2 linked regions of the Diceros bicornis minor genome follow. The protein of the gene in region 1 purifies or fractionates together with the protein of each later gene. This does not show direct contact. Links are inferred from orthologs where the notes say so. Each region holds a gene or a part of one and is shown on either strand. Other genes may lie near its edges.

The links. The genes of interacting proteins can lie anywhere in the genome.
Region 2: the proteins of NEURL4 (region 1) and CCP110 purify together in Homo sapiens (affinity purification with western blotting; 4 studies listed by BioGRID and IntAct, with this or other methods). This does not show direct contact. The link is inferred for Diceros bicornis minor from reciprocal best matches to the Homo sapiens genes NEURL4 and CCP110.

Annotation. Positions count from the first base shown.
Region 1 is NC_080757.1:10,961,055-10,970,336, reverse strand, and holds the start of NEURL4 (neuralized-like protein 4), read right to left. Parts: upstream 3,953-9,282; 5' UTR 2,917-3,952; coding exon 2,635-2,916; intron 1,727-2,634; coding exon 1,282-1,726; intron 1,065-1,281; coding exon 999-1,064; intron 854-998; coding exon 555-853; intron 388-554; coding exon 276-387; intron 185-275; coding exon 96-184; intron 1-95. Other genes in the region: uncharacterized protein LOC131416984, read left to right, coding at 4,086-4,579, 4,930-5,037, 5,168-5,239, 5,457-5,545, 6,535-6,672, 6,927-6,994; ACAP1 (arf-GAP with coiled-coil, ANK repeat and PH domain-containing protein 1), read left to right, coding at 8,092-8,144, 8,684-8,741. UniProt on the Homo sapiens protein: Promotes CCP110 ubiquitination and proteasome-dependent degradation. By counteracting accumulation of CP110, maintains normal centriolar homeostasis and preventing formation of ectopic microtubular organizing centers.
Region 2 is NC_080765.1:32,860,039-32,869,862, forward strand, and holds the start of CCP110 (centriolar coiled-coil protein of 110 kDa), read right to left. Parts: upstream 4,344-9,824; 5' UTR 4,162-4,343; intron 3,265-4,161; 5' UTR 3,234-3,264; intron 2,580-3,233; 5' UTR 2,425-2,579; intron 2,415-2,424; exon of another isoform or gene 2,267-2,414; intron 1,229-2,266; 5' UTR 1,008-1,228; coding exon 939-1,007; intron 432-938; coding exon 276-431; intron 1-275. Other genes in the region: GDE1 (glycerophosphodiester phosphodiesterase 1), read left to right, coding at 6,000-6,260.

The DNA.
Region 1 (9,282 bases):
TTGCCTTAGGTCACAGAGGGGACCGTGGTGCCCAGGCAGGGATGCAGAGTATCGGGGCCCCTGGAGAGTGGCCCAGACCCCATGGCCACCCTCACCTGCAGCTCATCCAGGCTGAATTCACAGTACTCTCGGCGGGTGCCCTTGCCGTTGGTCAGGATCCCACAGCCGCTCATCATGATGGTGCCTGGGGGAAAGCCGACACCCTGGTTACAGTTTGGGCTTCCTTCACCTCACCGACCCCAGGCCCATACCCCCACCCTGCCAGGGGCTGGTACCTGACTGCAAGTTGGTCATGGTGGCTGGGTAGTCCAAATTGTTGGGGTTGTGGGTAGTGACACCAATCTCAATGGAGCCCGACCACTTATCTACGAGCTTGTCGATGCGGATCTTGGGTAGAGTGACAGCAGAAGGGAGAGGCAGAGAATGTAAATGCAGAGAAAGGACCCTTAGCCATTGGCTCTTCCCCAGGCCCTACCCTTCCAGCGTCAAGGATCAAGCCCCATCTTTAGCTCCCAGAGGGCGAGGTGCTAGCCAGATCCCAGGATCTTGCACACCTCAAACATCTCATTGTCCCGGAGCGGGCGGTTGGTCATGACAACCCCATTGTTGAATTCATCTAGAGGCCGGCGGCGCTCAGCTGTCTTATTATTGTTGCTGAGTTTGATGAGGGTTCCACACTTCTCATGAAAGAGCAGGGCGTCGTTGGAAGTGAGGATGGGTGAGGTGGTAGCACCGCTCGACCCCAGCCCTTCCCCTGCTGATGGGGAGCTTAGGTTCACATTTAGAAGCCCCCCATTGTAGGCAGACAGGATGGCGTTGCTCACCACCTCAGAGAGCTCCATGCTGGCAAAGTCTGCAGCAGTAGGACAGAGGAAAGAAGCTGAAATAAGGCTCTACATCCTCAGGCTTGCCCCTCTCTCCCTACCCCTCTCCTGAGATCCCTCCCTTGTCCACCTCACTTCCCACTCCCATTCCCAGGGCCTCCCCGTAGCCCTCACCATTATGCGACTCAAGGCTGTTAGGAAACGTCTCTGGCCGGGCCTGCGCTGGGGACACCATGAAGGCTGGGGACCAGGTGGGATGGGAGGGGAATAAGGGTTCAGCCCCTGCTGTAGGGCCCACAGCCAGGAGACCCCCTCCTCTAGCCCCTGCTCTCCCCTTCAACAGACTCTGGGGTCTGAGTGTCCCTGCCCACACCCAGCCTCACTTGTCACTACATTTCCCCCATTCCTTCAGCCATTCCCTCCACCCCACTCCTCCACTACTGCCCTGTGTTCTCACCTTCATCTCCAGAGGTCCCCTGTTCAGCCAAAGCAGAATCTTCAGGGGGGGCAGAGGGCTCGAGGGGGAGTGTGGGGATGGGAGAAGGGGGGCTGAAGCCTGGCTCAGGGGGCAGCACGGTGATCTGGGTGCACTTGCCATAAAGGTCCACAACGGCCCAGACACGAGTGGGCAGGCCCGTGGCAGCCACACCGCAATCCCGCCCATTCACCCAGAGCCGAAGCTCCCCAGCAACCGTGCGCTCCACGCCCACACGGTCTCCTTCGCCAAGCTGGTCCAGGTCCTGACCATACTCCTCCAGCACAGAACGTCCATCCTTCAGCACCGAACAGCCCGACACTACCCACGAGCCCCCTTTTAGCCCCGTGGCGCTGCTTGGGAAGTCCAGCACACTGGGGTCCAGTGCCGTCACCCCAATCTCAATGGAGCCACTCCAGGAGTTGACCTATGATACGGGTGGTGAACAGAAACTCAGGATGGGTCATGAATGGGTCTCCCACCATTAGGAAACATTTCACAGGCCACTGCATCCCCCTGTTCCCATCTCTCAGACAGCTAAATGGGTTTTCTCTCTTGAGATGTGAGACACTAATCCAGAGATGCGGTCCCATAAGTAATTTTCTCGACTCTGTCTCAGGGATTGTTGGGTCCAGTTTCCCTTAGCAACTCTGCTTGGTACTCTAGGTGCTCAGTGTCTACGACACCACTCCTTTCCGCACCATGCCGGCTAAATTCCCTGGCTCCAGTCCCCTGCCCTAACTTCCCTGGTCTCTGGGGCTCCTCAACCACCCAAATTCACAGCTCTCCATGCCCATATTTATTCCTTGCTCTTGTATATCATTCTCTTCTAGGCTCTGGCTCCACTCAGATTCACTATGTTCCCAAATTCCACCTCTGTGCGCCAGGCCTCTTCACTAAATCACACACGAGTACACACACCTCCCTCTGTCTTCTCACGCATCTTTCCAGTCCAACCGGTGAGTTTGTCCTTCCATGGTTTGTTCTTTCTTTGGTTATCTCTCTTCTCCCATCACATCTCCAACATCTCACCAATCTCCATCTCCCAGAAATTGTTCCAGGAGGTCTGTTCCCTAGTCATTCCAGTGGGTGAGGCCCCCTGTCCCTTCCCTGCTCCTAGGTCTTGAACAAATTCAAGCTCTCCTTGTTTCCTTCTCCTTCAGACTGAATGTTTCTATTTCAGACTCCCTTTCTGCCTGTCACTTGGTGACCTAAGGTCTGTCGGTTTCCTCTCGATACCCGGTGTTGTGGGCTACCCTGGCTGTCCTACTCCGTCTCCCTCTGGTCCCTTCCCACCACCCTCCACATCTCGGTTCCGCGGCCCCAGCTCCGCACCTTGCGGTCGATGCGGACGGTGAAGACGCGTCCATCGCGCAAGGGTTCCCGGCTCAACACCAGCCCGTGGTTAAACTCCTGGCCCGGCTGCTGTCGCCGCGCTATACGCCCACAGGCCGACAAGCTCACCAAGCGCCCAGTGCGCGGGTGCAGCTCCCCGCCGCTGCCCAGAACCCCGCCGGACCCCGGCCCTGGGCCACTCCCGCCGGGGCCCCCACCCCCGCCTGGTCCCGGTCCGGGGCCTCCCCCAGAGCCCCCACTCCCACCCGACCCCGCCGCCATCGCCGCTGACACCGGGGCCGCGCGACAGCCGCGCTTGGCGGCACCGTGGCAACCGCGGTGCACAGACTCCCTGAGGGAATAGGACCAGGGGCTAGGGCCAGATATGCTTTACGGCACCGCTGGGCAATGAAGCATCCCTAGGCAGCTAGGGAACTAAGACTACCACGGTGGGAACAGAAGGACGACGGGGTCGACAGGTTTGCTTTACGGCACGGAGAGGTGACGGAGTGGCTCCGAGAAGGGTGAAGACTTGAGCAGGGAGCTTTTGCGACAGTGGGAGAAACAACTGCCGCAGGCATCTTTACGACGGAGAGGTGCTGGCGTCCAAACACTTTCGGCTTTGCGACAGCGGCACCGACGACCCCGCCCTCGTCAAGCCAGGCAACACCTAGACATGTTCGCTTTACGGCAAGAGGAGGAGTCGTCTTCCCTTCCCGCTATGCGCTTGAAAGCGGTGTGAGCGGGGTTTGGAAGACCCAAGGAAGGGAACTGGTAGCTTTATAAATGAAAATCTCTGCCCTCCACACCGCCGAGAGCGGATATATCTTACAGCAGTATCGCAATCCCTCCACTTTGCATCACCTCTCGTGAGAGGCAAAGCGGGCCGACTTTTGGTGGAGAAAAGGTTGGCGCTGTTTCTAGTCAAGCCCACCTTGAACTGCAATCCAACCAAACTCTTAGATTTTAAAGCCGCGAATAAAAAATCCAAAGAAACCCTGGAAGGCAGTTTCAAGCAACGATGCTGACGTTCCCAAAAGATCCCCCAGAGCTATTAGTAAGGCCCCAGCCCAACTCCCCGATGCTCGCGCTACGGTTGGAGGATTGTGACGTCACAATTAAGTCGTCTCGCTCCCGCATCAGGACCTCTGACTATGATTGGACAATTCGGATGAGGGCGGGGATGAGGGAGAAGGGCGGGAACAAATCCTACAGACAAAGAAAGAAGGTCTTTGGGTGGACAGAGAGGGAGGGGCTCCCAGCCTGAGGTCCCTATATAGATAGATTCTTGATCCCGCCCACCGCGGCTCCAGGGAGCCGAAGGGGAGGGGACGCGGCCCTCAGCCCGAGCGTCCCCCGCCCTCCGCGGTGGGGGCGGGGCCTCAAGGGGCGGGGCTATGTGGAGTAGGGTGGCGGGGCGGGGGAGCTGAGGGTGGCCCCCTGGCGGGGCCATGGAGAAGCAGGACTCTCTGGGGGCTGCCGGCTGCCTCAACGGGGAATCCCCTGGAGGGGCAACCAGGGGAGTGCCAGGAGGCATTGGAGGAGTCGAGGCAGGCGCCAGGCCGCCCTCCGAAGTAGTCTTGTGTCACGTTTCTGGCCCCCCCCTGCACTCCGGGGGAGTCGTAATTCGCAGTCCTCGTTCCAGCCGGCCCTCCGAGGGGGTAGCGGTCCTTGGTTCCGGGCCCAACCAGCACCCTGGGGAGGTTGCGGGCCACAGCCATGGGCCCGGCACATACCCTGGCGGATTTAATCCCCCCTTCCTTGGAACCCGTGCATCCGGGACGTCCAGCCTTGGGTCCAGGGGGTCTGGGGTGTACAACTCGGGAAGCAGTTCGCGCCCTGGGTCAACTTTCTTGCACCCCCACAAACCTTGTGAGGACCGGCCCCGGGGCATCCTCAAAAACAGCAGTTCCATCTCGATGCAGAAATCCCCCAGTGTGGAGAAGTAAGGAGCCCAGCTCAGTGGGCACGCCGCTCGGAGCCGGGAGGGTGGGGTTCCGGACACTTTGAGGGGGTGGAGCCAGGAGGGAAGGGGCGGAGTCCTGAGAACTATAAGTGAGAGTAAGTGAGGGCGATTGGGTGGGAAATTTGAGTTTCCAGGCCTTTGCGGGAGAGCGGTAGGTACCGGACCAACCCTGGCTACATTGTAAGTGATTATCATTAGGCCTCCTACGCCTCTGGAAGTACAAAGAGGGTGCAAGAAAAAGGTTTTGAATGACTGAAAGAATGAGGGAGGGCTGTGAGAAGAGGTCACTAGGCTTCCTCCTCGTTTTTTGTGTCCTTCCCCCACCCCAGGAAAAAGTCTCAGCGCTGGGATGAAATGAATATCCCGGCCACCTACCACCCTGCTGACAAGGACTACGGATTTATGAAGGTGGATGAGCCCAGCACTCCCTACCACAGGTGCTGAGCCCGTCAACCCAGACTCTCTTCCCTGTTCAAAGGCGGGTTACGGGGAGGAGGCTGAGAGGCTGCAGGGACTGGATATTGCCTGCTGCCTCCCTCCCAGCACTGCTTGCTCCTTCCTTTGCAGGCTGCAGGACAGCAATGAGGACCTACTTGAGGTTTCCTCCCGCACAATGACTCCCGAAGAGCTGGCGGAGAGGTGAGAGTCCTGCCAGAGCTCAGCAGGGTTGTGGGACCTCTTCCTCCTTCCACTCCTGAACTCTGGGGTCTGAGCCAGCTCTGCTTTTTTGACTACAATTCCCGTCAGAACTGACCAAGGCCAAGGTGGGGGAGTCAGCCAGCTTGGCCCTATCTATCACCTGCCACCATTGTTGTTCTCTTCCTTTGGTGCCCCCAACTAGTCTCCCTCCCTTCAGGTTTGCAACAATGGACAATTTCTGCCCCAAGGTCCTCCAGTACAGTGATAACAGAAGCTCAGGGTCTTCAGACAACTTTTCCAAGACACGTGAGATGAGGGTCGGGGATTGAATGAAAAGGGGAGGCGGAGTGAACCTTCAACGAGAGCCTGGAGGGAAAGCCAAGCTCTTACACTGGCCCACAGACTCCAGTGCTTTTGAGAAGCGCCGCAAGGCACACTACGATGAAGGAAAGTTCCTTAGGGCTCAGAAAAACCTGCCATTGGATAATAACAAGAACAGCAATGGGAGTATTGTCAGTATGGGAGGTGGCAGTCGAGGTGTGATGCTGAGCCCAGAGCCCAGACCTATGGAGAGAAGCTGGGCAGGAGGACTGGCCAGAGGAGTCAAAGTTGAGACTGACTTGATGACCAAGAACTACATCCTAGAAGCCAAGGGTTAGCTATGGCGGGGCCCCAGGGACTCAAAGGAATTGTAGTCCAGAGCCTTCTCCACCATAGCCTGTCTTCCTCAGTGGGCATTGGCCCAGGGCCCTGCCTAAGAGGGAGGTAATGCTGGGAGGTGACCCAGGGAAGACAGAGGGCAGCTGGGGTTGGGTCCCTATCAAGGTAGTCTTAGGGGAGGCTGGCTGGTGAGGAGGAACAGAATGCCCAAGAGAACCAGGGGGATGGGGAGGTCACTGAGGTTTTCTAAAATGGGAGGAGGTGATAGAAGTGAGATGAGAACCTGGGGCTTGAGCTTCTCTCCTGTGGTGGGGGCCACAATGGACACCTGAGGGGCCTGGATACGCTAGGTATGAGACTCAGATTGATTTGGGTGACTCCTCAGATTTCCCTACCTCCAGAAATCAGTCCCCAGCTCCAGCCACCATCGTGTTAGAGCAGGAGATTGATCTGCAACGCAAGGAGTATTATAGCAAGGGAAGATACCTGAGGCGCTCTCCCCACCCAGAGCTTGAGGAGGACACAGAAGATGAGCAGCAGGACAGTGAGAGCTGGGCCGGGTCAGCCTGGGGGCAGGAGGGCTGAGAACTAACAGATTGATGGATGCCGCAACCCTGACCCCATGATGCTTCCAGGCTCCACAAGCTTGAACTGGATGATGGAGAATCCCATAAGCACTGAGGTCCGTCTGCTGGACCACACAGGAAACCACTTTCAGGATCCCAAGGCTACTGAGAACTCCCTGACGGTGACAGTGACACCATTGCTGCCTGGTGAGAACACCAGGCCACCATCTCACTGGGCCTGGCTCTTGGCAAGCTCCCATGCCCCCAACCCCCACCCCTTTCAGGCCAGTAGACCAGCAACAGGTGCTAAGAGAGACCATAAACATCCTAGTGTGCAAGGCCCTTGTTGTACGGAGAGGAACCAGGGAGGCTCAGAAGGGTTGGGATCCTCTCCAGCTTGGCATCACCTGCTGACCCCATGCCTCCTCCCTGACTCCTCTCTGCCACCCACCCTACTCCAGGTACTGCCCTGTCTTCCAAAGACAGTAGGTCCCAAGCGGGTGTCAGTGGCTGGTGTCCAAAGGGCTGAACTGGCGAAGCCCAGAAAGCTCAAAGAGGGTACCTGGAAGCAACCCAAACTCCCCAAAACTGAACCAGCACAGACATGAGCCTGAGCCCTGGTGGGGGCAAAGGGCTGCCTGCACTGCCCAGGGAGGGAGAGGAGCTGAGTGGGTAGGTTCTAGGGAATCTGGTGGGTCTCGTGGGCCAGATCTCATGCCTGCTGCACAAAAGCTACTAACCCAACCCCTTTTCTCTCCAGATACAACTGTGCAGCTTCGATGGACTCAGGAGGAGGAAGCCAGACAATGGAAAATGTAGCCAGCTGGGAAGGGGGTGGGGACCAACCTTCCCCTGCCCTCACCACCCTAGGAGTGGACAATAAAGAGAAGAAGAGCAGGCCTCTGGGTGCTGTGAATTGGGGACCCAGGCTGGGCCTGCTCCGTCCTTGAGGAGAGGGGAGGAGGGAGGGAAATTCACACACAGGAAACCAAGGGCAGGCTGAGCAGAGAAGAAAGCTTGGAGTAGTCTGGGGAACTGGGCTCAACAAGAACCTAGGAGTCTGAGAAGGCCCAACTGTAGCAGGATGACAGTGATTGGTGTGATTCAGTCAACCATAAATTTACGGTATCATCTTTACTTCTTACAACAACCCTGGAGGTAGGGGTTATCATCCCCATCTTCCAGATGAGAAAACTGAGGAATCAGAGAGCTTGCCCAAGGTCACACAACCTTTAAGTGACAGAATCAGGATTTGAAACTATATCTGCCAGGCCTCTCAAATTCAACCACTAAAGGAGAAAGAAGCAAAGAAAGACCAGGGCCCCCAGTAGGAAGGTGACAGCAGATAGTCCCTGAGGGCGTGGCTGTGGCTTCTCTGATCTCAGGCCCCTCTCCTCTGCCCAGGCCCCGCCTCTGCCCCTCCCAGCACTGCCTGGAAGTGTGGGGTGAGAGCTCCTCCTAGGACACCCATTCCCCTTGGGGAAAAATCTGCGCCCCCCCAGGCTCTACCCAGGAGAGGACCTTCTCCTTCCTCATCAACGCCCCTTCTGGGGCAGGCAGTGCCTCTACCTGCATCCCCACCTGCTGGGCCCCAGGGCCCACTGGCCTCCGAGCAGTCAAGCTGAGATGACGGTCAAGCTGGATTTCGAAGAGTGTCTTAAGGACTCACCTCGCTTCCGGTAAGTGCGAGCAGGTCTGGAGGGCAGGGAGGGAGTAGTCCGACAACCCCCAACATGCACACGCACTCACACACAACCTTCCCCAGGCCAGACGTCCTTCCAGGGAGTAAGTCTCAAAGGGACAAGATGGAGCTTGGGGCCAGAGTAGGACCTCTGCTATCAAACCGGGTGCTCTGATGTTCTCCACTCCTTGCATGTGGAGGGGGCTGCTCCAGCCTCTCGCACCCCCAGAGCTGGCATTCCCTCCTCCTCCTCACCCAGACCCCTGCCCCTCCCCCAGCACCTGCTCTGGGCGGTTAGCAACTTCCTGCCCTCGCCACATCCACCCTCCCTCCTACCCTTCCTGCTCTGGCCTGGGCCAGCAGCTCCTACACTGCGCAGTGAGCTGAGCAAAAGAGGGTGGGTGGGTGGCTCTTCTTAACCCCTCCACTTTTTCTGTCTGTACCTCCACTCCCTAACCCCAATCCCTGACCTTGCTGAGGCTGACAGACCAGATGGACCCAAGCTCTGTTCCTGTGACCCCACCCCTCCTTTCCCAGAGCCTCTATCGAGTTGGTGGAAGCCGAAGTGTCAGAATTGGAGACCCGGCTGGAAAAGGTGATCCTGACATGGAGAGGTGACCCAGGAGCCAATTAAGATGAGAGGGGCGGGGCCAGGGAGAAAGTTGGAGACCAAGAATGAGTTCCAGGGATTATTGAATGCTAGCCATGTTCCAGGGTAAATATTTGGGGGGGTATAGAGAAAGAGAAAGGTGGTTCTGTGCTGTTAAGGAGCTTGGGATCTTGAAAAACCAGACTCATTGGTGGACTACTCTTGAGCCCTGCATTATGCTGGGCCCTGGGTGTTTGGGAAGAGCAAGACTATTTCTACCTCCAGAGAGCCCGCAGACGGCCTGTGGAGGACCAACTGTGAAACACTTAAACACAAGACAATAAGGCCTTCCCTGGCCTCTCTATAAAACATGCATGCACGTGCACACACACACATGCACACACACACTCCCATTTCCCTTACTCAGCTTTATTTTTCTCTATAGCTTTTACCTCAATCTGACATGTTATATATTTATTTGCTGCATTAGTTTTCTATTGCTGTGTATCAAGTTGCAAATTTAGTGACTAAAAACAATACACATTTG
Region 2 (9,824 bases), on another chromosome or scaffold:
ATTCTGATAAACATTACCAAATTGCTCACCAAAAAATAAAATCTCAGCAAAAGTCCCTTGTAAGTGCCTTTTCCCTACAAACTAAGACGCACTAGGTCCTATCACATCTTTGCCAATCTAGTAGGTAAAGAATGCTAACTCATTTGTATTTCTTTAATTATGAATAAGGGTTAAGCATCTTTTCAATGTTTATAAGCCTTTCTTTTGTTTTTCTGTGAACTACCTTAGTGGTTCACTACAGAAAAAAAGATTGTTTAAAGTAAAAGAAAGTTTACCAGTGGAGAAAGCACAGCCACTCCATGGAAGCGAATAAGCGAGATGCTTTCAGACTGGACAGGTAGAAAACTCTCTGTGGACAGTGATGCTTCTTGGATTCTGGCAAGACTTTTCTCACAGAACTTCTCATACTCCTCCATCTTCCCACAATCACACTACAAAAGAAAAAAATGTCAAAAATGAGAAAAATAGATCTTAATTATTGGGCCAATTTTGTAGAGCACTGAAATATTCCTAGAATTCACAATTCCTAAAACTGGGCTTCCCAAAATGGTTTCACTGATCAGAAGCTAATTCCTGGTTATAAGTAAGCACCTCACGATACTACCCAGTGAAGCCTTGGTTCATATATTATATATTTCTGAACATTTGTATGTAAATCAATATTTAAATGTGATTAGTTTAGAAAAGTACTAAGAACTCACCAGTGAAGTTTCCTTTTTAAAGGAAACAAAGTTCTGTACCAGTTTACTAACTTCAGATTATAAAATAGATATTTTCTTTAGCAGGACTTATCTACACAGCACAAGAAAAAGTAAAAAATAAAAGGCAAAAATGCTTTTGTAGCCAAAAAAAAGAAATAAGGGCTATTTAAATAAAAGAGGCTATTTACTTTCAAAACTTCTTTTTCTATCATGGAGTTCAAAGTCCGTTATACTTACATATCTTAAGAATTTCTTTTCTACTCCATGGTCACTAGCCAAATCAGTCAGGGGTAGAAAATAGAACATCTATTGGCTCTGGTATTAATTCCATTTTATTGTTGAAAATTGGAACTATCACGAAACTACTTAAAACAATCAGCCCAGGAATTGCACAATTTCTGAAAAATTGTGAGGGTGGCTATGAAAATACAAGGTAACCAGGAAGGATTAGGCAGCATATTCATTCGTCTAGGAAGCATGAAATATTTGATTGCTTGTTTCCATAGCATTATGTCTGGCATTGTTTCCTTTAAATAAGCAAGGGAAAATAAAGAGACATCATCAAAATCATAACCACCAAGGGTACAAACTGTAAAAACAGAAAACCTAATACAATAATGTTCCTTTAAGATACCATAAATAGTGTTCATCTTAAAACAATTAACTAATTAACAAAAAAAAGAAAGGGTAGAGAAATTCAATTCATGATGTGAAATATGCAAAGATGAAGATACAATATGATACTGTCCTAAACCTCAAAGTACTTACAAATTCAGTACACTAAGGTGTCAGGGACAAATTATAGTGCAATTAGAAATGAAGAAAAAGCATTTTCAAAATTATGATTAGATTATGAAAAAATAAGATGTATTGCTAATTTTGACCAACAGCTAGTTTTATTAATAACAAAACTTCTTCCTACCATCTCATCCATTCTAATTATTTCTATATTAAATTTACTCCAAGTGAGAGTTTAATTTCAAAGAAATGGTTCTCTAGAGTATGAGATTATTCTGCAAACCAATATTGATAAAACAAACAAAAGTAAAAAACAAACATAACACCTTACTGCACGATAACCATAGCAAGGCCCCATTTGTCAGTCTGGATTTCAACCCACATTATATCTTAACAACCAAAATACGCAGAAGCTAAGATGTAAGAGAAATTCAAATGACCCCATTTCTGCTAAAATACTTCAAAATATTTTTTACCACAGCCCATGCATCCAGCATTACAGAGAACATAAATAGCTGACTCATACAATTAATGTAATATTCTTCGTATGGATACACAAGCAAACATGAAATTCTATTTTAAAGGTCTGAGAAATTTAAGGAAATAAAATATCTTTATGGCAATAGTTCTATTTTTCTTTCAGCAACATCATGAAGATATATGCCTCATGCTTTAGAAAGTTAAATTCATATCCCTTTAACAGTACATGTATGTCAGACGTATTGCAGATCCACAGTAAGAGATTATTATTACAGCATAATTTATAGCATATGATAATGCATTCACCACCCAAATACAAGCGCCAATAAGGTGATTACGGAAATTACCAAATGATCCCAGAGCGTGACTGGATCCTTCTTATATTTCAGTCTCAGCTTGGATGTCGCCTCCTCGGAGAGGGTGTCGCCGACGAGCCCATCTAAATTAACCCTGTGACAGTCACTATCACATTGCCCTGCTGTTTTCCAATTTTCATAGCACTTACCACTATCTGAAATTATCTTATTTCCTTGGTTTTCGCCTGTCTTCCTCCACCAAAACGTAAGCTCCATAAGCACAGGTACTTTCTCAGTCTTGCTCACCACTGAAGCCCCATCACACAGAACACTGTCAGCACACAGTCGGCATTTGATAAAAGCGCTGAATAAATGAATTAGGGTAATTAGCTCAAACAATAACGAAAACCGGGAGAAAAAAGAGAGTGGACTACATAGCAAAGAAGCTAGCAAGGAAGAAGGGAATTGAGAGAATGGAGTTTCATGGATGACCCTATTCTCAGAGAAGCCGGTACCTCTAAACTGCAAAGGCAACCGTTTAAAAAGTGAGCGTCCGTATCCTATATTAAGGCACTTCGTCTCTCACACCACAATTACCTCTGTCAGCAGGGTTTTATTTTAAGGGAGCCCCGACTACAAGGCCACGCCAAGCACAAATCTACTGCCCCATACTTTACCACCAGGCATTACTGGTCCACTTGAATTAATAATTTGTCAGCTGCATCAAGTTCAGACATGTCTCATTTCTCCATTTATACCATGACTTCTCCAAATGAGCCTCTTTGCAAACCCCGCAAACTCATGGTCCTGCTACCTGCTCCTCAGCAGTGCTCTCCCAGAGATGTCACTGAAGGGAATGGTAAAAGTAGCACAGAACAGATCTGGCCTTGTTTTCAGATCCTAGCTGGTTGTTTACCCATCAGTCTTCCCAAAGACATAAACGTCTTATAGAGGTAATAAAGGGGAAAGTTTCTTATTCAGGCCCACACTAGCTGTATGTTCTTGGCAATTCACTTACCATCTCTATGCAGTCTATACGGTCTCCTTATCTGTAAAATAGGAATAATCTGAGTATCTGTCTCAAAGAGATTCTATGAGGATTCGATGAATTAATACACGCGTGGCAATTACTATATTGCAGGACATGCAGAGAGCATCAATAAATGGGGCCGCTTTGGTTATGAAGAGGAGGAGGAGGATTTTTATCACTAGATTATGAACTCCTGGAGGGCAGCGACAGTGCTTGGTTCCTGGCAAAATTCAAATATAACTTAAAAACACGGAAAGGGGGTCAACGGCTTCCTCCCTTCGCTGTTTCCAGACCGCTCCCCATTAAATCAATCTCTAGGCGCCTGCCATTTGCCTAAACTGGGGATAGGGAACTGGAATGACAACCAGACAGAAGCAAAGGGTGGGAACCACCTAGCAGCATCAGGGGCAATCAAGAGAACTTGCTTTATTATCCTCATGTTTATGCCCCAGAGAGGCGCAGAGGCAGAGTAAACAGCGCTCCTGGGGCCTCTGGTTGTGGTCACCGGCCTTCAGAAATGTCCAGTGCTCACCCCGGGGACGCCTCCCTCGCCAGCATCGTAGAAGAAAAACGCCCCACACTGTTTGAGCAACAGGAGGTGGTCCCCGGCTCTGGCCCGAGTTTATTTACAGGGGATCCTCTGCCCCAGCGCCCCACGCCCACCTCCCCCAGCTCCTCTGGAAGGCTCCATCCCGAGGGCCCACCAGGCGGTGTCAGCATCCGAGCATCACCTCCGCGCCCGGGCACCCACCTTTCGACACCCGGCGCCCTTCCAGGGTCTCGAAGCCCGGGGGCCCAGCACCCGCGCTCGGGCTGTCCAGAGCCCGCCCTCAGCTCTCAGGGCGCCAATGCCGCCTTGCCCGTGGCCTCGGAGCCGGGACCGGCTGAGGATCGAGCCCGCTCCTCACGCACACACCTGATCTCCCACGGCCCGGGCAGGTTTTCTCCCCTCGCCCCGGGCCTTGTGAGGAAGCCAACGGCTCAATCGGTACAGACAGAGAGCAGCTCGGTCCGCCGCCGCCTTCTCCTCCTCCTCCCCGCCATATTACGGGTCTCAGGCGGCAACGCGGGCTCCTGGCAACCGCCGCCGCCGCTGCTCGGACTCCACCTCTCCCCACCGCCACTTCCGGCGGTTGCTTCCCGGGCTGTTGGAACCGTTGGGCCTCCAGAAAACTACAATCCCCGAGGTGCATTGCGCGCCTGGGTACGCGCCCTGGCCCAGTGATGAAGGGAGTAGTACTTACGGGCAGCGCGGTGCACGCTGGGAAACGTAGTCTTCACTACGAGCTGAGGCCTCTGCAGGTAAAATTTATTATATGGGAACGCCCCAGGTCTGAAGCCGCCTGAAATGTTCCTTGAAGTTGCTATTTTTCACTTATCCGTACAGATATAACCTCATTCTGTGTGGTCGTTGGAAAAGATACAACATTCACCGAAATTTTTTCTCTGTAAATAAAATATTGCTGAATCCTAGAATGCCAACTCAAAGCCTTAAGACATCCCTGACCCTTTCGCAAATCAGTGGGAAAAACGTCCAAGAAAGGTAACAGATTCAAGATGGCCCAAAAAGCCCCGAATGTTTTACCAGAGTTCTCTATCTAAACAACATGTTACCAGCTTTCCAAAATACAATGCAGCAGCCGCTTTCATTTGCTAACTCGGCTTTACCGTTTGCCTCTTTTACTGACCCTGCTTCCCGTGCCTATACTTGCATATATAAAATGAAAGTTTTAAAAGTGCCTATCACAAGGGTGGCTGTGAGGAACAACTGAGATATTCTTGCACAGTGCCTGGTGCATAAGCCCTACTATTAGCCCATAGTAGAAGGACAAGTAAGGTTACGAGGATGAGTAGCAGTGCAAAAAAAAGTCACCTGGCCTAAAACTGGAGTGGCTTGAGTCAGTCCTGACGCTGCCATTAACTGCTCAACTCTCTTCACCTCTCCTGGCCTCAGTTTCCTCATCTATAAAACGAGGGAATCATTAAAATCCCTTCCAGCTTTATAATCCGATTGTACCTGCTTTGCTATGCTCTTTCGTTCCCTCAGAATCTGAAAAATCCTTCTAAAGTCGACTGAATTCATTCACTCCTGAGATAAGACCTACCCACTGAGGCTGTTGTGAGAATAAACGAGATAACGCATAAAATATTCGCTAGCACAGAACCTGGAATACGGTAAGTGCTCTATAAATGTTGGCGTGCTCCCTAACACTATTATTTTCCCCCACGAGAGCAGGGACCGTGCAGGTCCTGTTCACTGCCGTGTCCAAGCACCTGGACTGGTGTTTGGCACATCTTGAATTGAATACATAAATAGTCTGAGCGTTGTGCTCCTTCAAGGCTCCCCGGGCAGTTTCCTCGAAGGCGGAATGAAGGGGTCACTAAGGTCCCTCCAAGTCCTGCAACCGTACAATGGGTCTTGCATCCCTCCCCTTCTCGAGTCTGAAAGCCCTGGTTGAAGGCCCCACCCCGGAATAATCCAAAACCACTTTGGAACGCGAGCCTGGGGCCGGGGCCCGCCTGCGTTGCCATGGCAGCGGCTCCGCCCCCGAGAGCTGGCGCTCCCCGGCCCTGATTGGCTGGACGGCCGGCTCCTTCTCCCGCTGCGGCCGCCGCCGCCATTGTGCGGCGCTCGGCCCCTCGGAGGGTGTCAGCTGCGGCCGGTGCCTTGAGCTCTCGCTCCCGCTTCTGGTTCTCCTGTCCGGGGAGCCCGGCGGGCCCGGGACTCCCGTCCGTGCCGGTGCGGGCGCCGGCATGTGGCTGTGGGAGGAGCAGGGGGGCCTCCTGGGCCCCTTCTCCTTCCTGCTGCTGCTGCTGCTGCTGGTGACGCGCAGCCCCTTCAATGCCTGCCTCCTGACCGGCAGCCTCTACCTCCTGCTGCGCCTCTTCAGCTTCGACCCGGTGCCCTCCCGCAGGGCCCTGCAGGTGCTCAAGCCGCGGAACCGCGTCTCCGCCATCGCCCACCGCGGCGGCGGCCACGACGCCCCCGAGAACACGCTGGCGGCCATTCGGCAGGTGAGCCCCCCACGCCTCGCGCCCCTCCGGGGAGCTGGACTTCTGCTTGTCCTTCCGCAGATTCCCCAGGCTTCGCGTGATAGCCTTCCCGGTTCCCCATTCGTCCTCAAGAAATACGTTCCTGTGGCTCTCGATCCCTCTGAAGTCTGGAAAATCTCCCGACTTCGAGTATTTATAGAACATAGCAAATACTCACATACTTACATATTTGCTATGTGCCAAGCACTGCGCAAGCGAAAGTGCAATGAAGAAATAGAGTAATGGAATGAGGGATGACTGGGGAAAGCAGTTAATGCTATTTCCAGATAGTCAGCGAAATCCTCAGAAGAAGTGACTTTTGAACTGAAACCAAGATTGCGAGAAGGAGCCGGCTGTGGATCTGGGGGAAAAGTGTTCCAGAAAAAGGGAGCAGCAAGTGCAAAGGTCCTGAGGTGGGAATGATGTTGGAATGTTCAGATAACAGAATAAGCATATGTGGCTTGACTTCAAGGAACAGAGCAAAGGCTAGTGAATGAGGTAGGAAATGTGGCCAGGTTAAGTAGAGTCTTGGTCAGTGGTTGAGTTTATTCTAAGTGGATCACATTCACAAGAGCTGTCTTTGCTTGTCCTCCAAACTAGCCAGGTCATCTCCTTATCACCTTCCCCCCAGACACACACATTCATCCTCAGACAATCCTGGCATTGGGACTCTAATCAGTTTCTGCCTCCCCTTGTCACAAGGCTCTCCTGGCAGTCTCCTGACATGAAAATGACCGTTCGCATAGTAAGAGAGCTTTTCAGTTGCCTAGCCACTTTTGCATCTGTAGAAATATATCTGATCCTCTCATTTCTTTGAGACATTTTAACATTGAATGAGTAGGAAAGCTGCTCAAACCACAGCTCTTTCTAGAATTCAACCTTCTGATTCCAAGCCTCAATGCTCTTTGTCATAGATTAGAATATGTCCTGGGATGTAAAAACTTGGACTGACTGTCATGTGTCCTGCTAGGGACAGACAGTGTTGTGTAATGAGCAAGTTACTTAAGCTGTCAGTGTCCCAGTCAAGAGTCATGACTAGGGTGTGGGAAGCGCGGCACCCTAGGGCACTTCTCACTCTAGTCCCAGCCGTGACCTCAGTTTCCCCATCCGTAAAATGGGAATAATATTGATATCCGCCTAATAGGTTGTGATTCAATGAGGTAGTCCACATAAAGTGTGTGGCCCATGATAAGACCTCCACAAATGTAAGCTCTTTAGGCCAAGAATCTAAAGATGGCTTGATTGTTTAAAATCGTTTAGGTAAAATTTAAGTGTTAAGGGAAAAATTTAAGTCTGAAGAAAGAAGGGAGTCAGGAAGGCAGCTTTAATTGAGCAGAGGGCACCTGACCGTTTATAAACCCAGTTAAACTTCTCTTATGCTTTTTCCCTTTGGTTCTTTGTGATGGAAGGGAGACAGAGCAGCTCTTCTAGCCTTCTGTTTAAAAATAAATCTAAAGATATTGAAGAGTGTATTTTACCTTCTAAACCTAAACCCAGAGAGGTTGCATGAAGTAACACAGCTAGCTACACAGGAGATAGAACTGTCATGCAAAGAAAGATGATAATTACCATAGGAAAAAAAGCACATAATTGTCGTTGGCTTCCATTTCTACTTACCTTGTGTAAATTGCCTTAAAGTATAACTCATTGTTAATTGAGCACAGAAGGTATTCATAAGTATTTACCGATGGGTATGGTAGTTTGGCTAGGAATATGTTTGAGTGAATATAAGTCATGTTAAACGAGGAAGTATGTATGTGAAATACACATACACATAGAGTGTTTCATATCCCCTCGTGTTGCAAGAGAATTATAGCTAAATTCCATTCATGCCTTGTATGCTTAGGTTGAGCATGTCTTTAATGTGTGTAATAATCATAAATAAACATCGTGCCAAGTTGATTACTGGTCTTAAGAGGAAATGAGATGTGGTAATTCACCTTGTTCGAATATCGGGTCATTATCAGTGAACTTTTTAGCTGTAATAGAATTTAGATTCTGAATACAGACTGCAGAAGACAAGGTCGCATCCTCCCGCTTGACTTCAAATTTGTAGTTTATTTCCATCAAAGTTTGTTTTTTGTCCTATTCTTCCTCCCTTTACATGTTTACAGCTCATAATTTATATCCTTAAACATTTGAAAAAAAAAAAAAGTTTTACTCCGTGAAAACTCAGGGAAGACGTTCTGACAGTGGTAGAATTTCTGATAGATTATAAAATAGATATATAAGGAAACACTTGAAAGAGGTAAGGTGTGTTCCCCCCAAAAATACTATTGTAAGACATTTCTCTAAATAAATAAAAAGATGAGTATGAAGTGTATACTAACATGTGAATTAGAATCAGGTTCATCTTTTTGCCTCTATAACTGGTAAAGAAAGTTGAATGCAGTCATAGAAGATCTGGTCTAAGAAATTAATATGGTGGTTGTTTTATAGAGCTTTTGTTTGGGGCCTTAATAAACTACACAGAAAAGACAAATAAATGAACTCATTAGTTCTAGTTCACTTGCTAAAATAGTCTCACCATTGTTACTTTTTGTGTTGTAGCCAAATAAGGATGGCCCTAATGAATAAAAGTATAATTGAACCTAATTATAGTGCCCCATCAAGGAATAAGGATAACATTTGTGTTATAATGAGAGAAGCATGCACTATGAATACTGAAAATGTGATCTAGTTTTATGTGGTAAAATATGGAACCCATGTTGTTTTACCAGGGCATTAATTCTGTCTTTAACTTAGGAAAGATATACTTTTTAATCTTATGGAAAGGTATACCTTTTAACCAGTACAGATGTAAGCATTATTGTAATGACTTTTTCCCTGAGGCATAAGTGTTCTTCTAATCCTTAATAGCTTATTTTGAGTGCCAACTCTGAGCCCGGCACCAAGCTTGGTAATTTACAGGCATTATTTCCAAATCCTCACAGCAACTCTTAGGATCGTTAGAGTATCATCTTAAAAATGATGAAACTGAGACTAGAAGACTATAAGTAACTAGACAACACAGTGAGTGATAGAATTGGGATTTTTAGGGGGGGAAATCTTGGTCACGTGTGTGAAAATCAAACTTTGAAGCCTAGAAGAAAATATAGTTGTATATCTTTATAAATGGGAGTAGGAAAGAATTTAAATAAGATAGAAAAATCTCCACCCGTAAAGGACGAGTGATAGATTTGACTATATTACGATTAAAAATGTGTTAAAAAGAACACACAGTAACTAACAATGGCTAACATTTATTGAATGCTTCCTATGCACTAGGACCGTGCTGTATGTTGTTTGTGGGTGCTTAAGTGTGTAGTAAATATATAAAGACCTATAATGGAATGATATGGGAATGATGCACATCAGCTTTAAGTGGGCAATTACCTCTGGAGAGGAAGGGGGGAGGATTTTAGCTGTGTCTGTAGTGTCGACAGTAAAGTCGGAGTGGTTAAGAGAGCAGCCTCTACCACGTCCTAGGTTGTGTAACCCAGAGCAAGTTCCTTAATCGCTCACAGTTTCCTCATCTGAGAATGAGAACATTAATAGTACCTACTG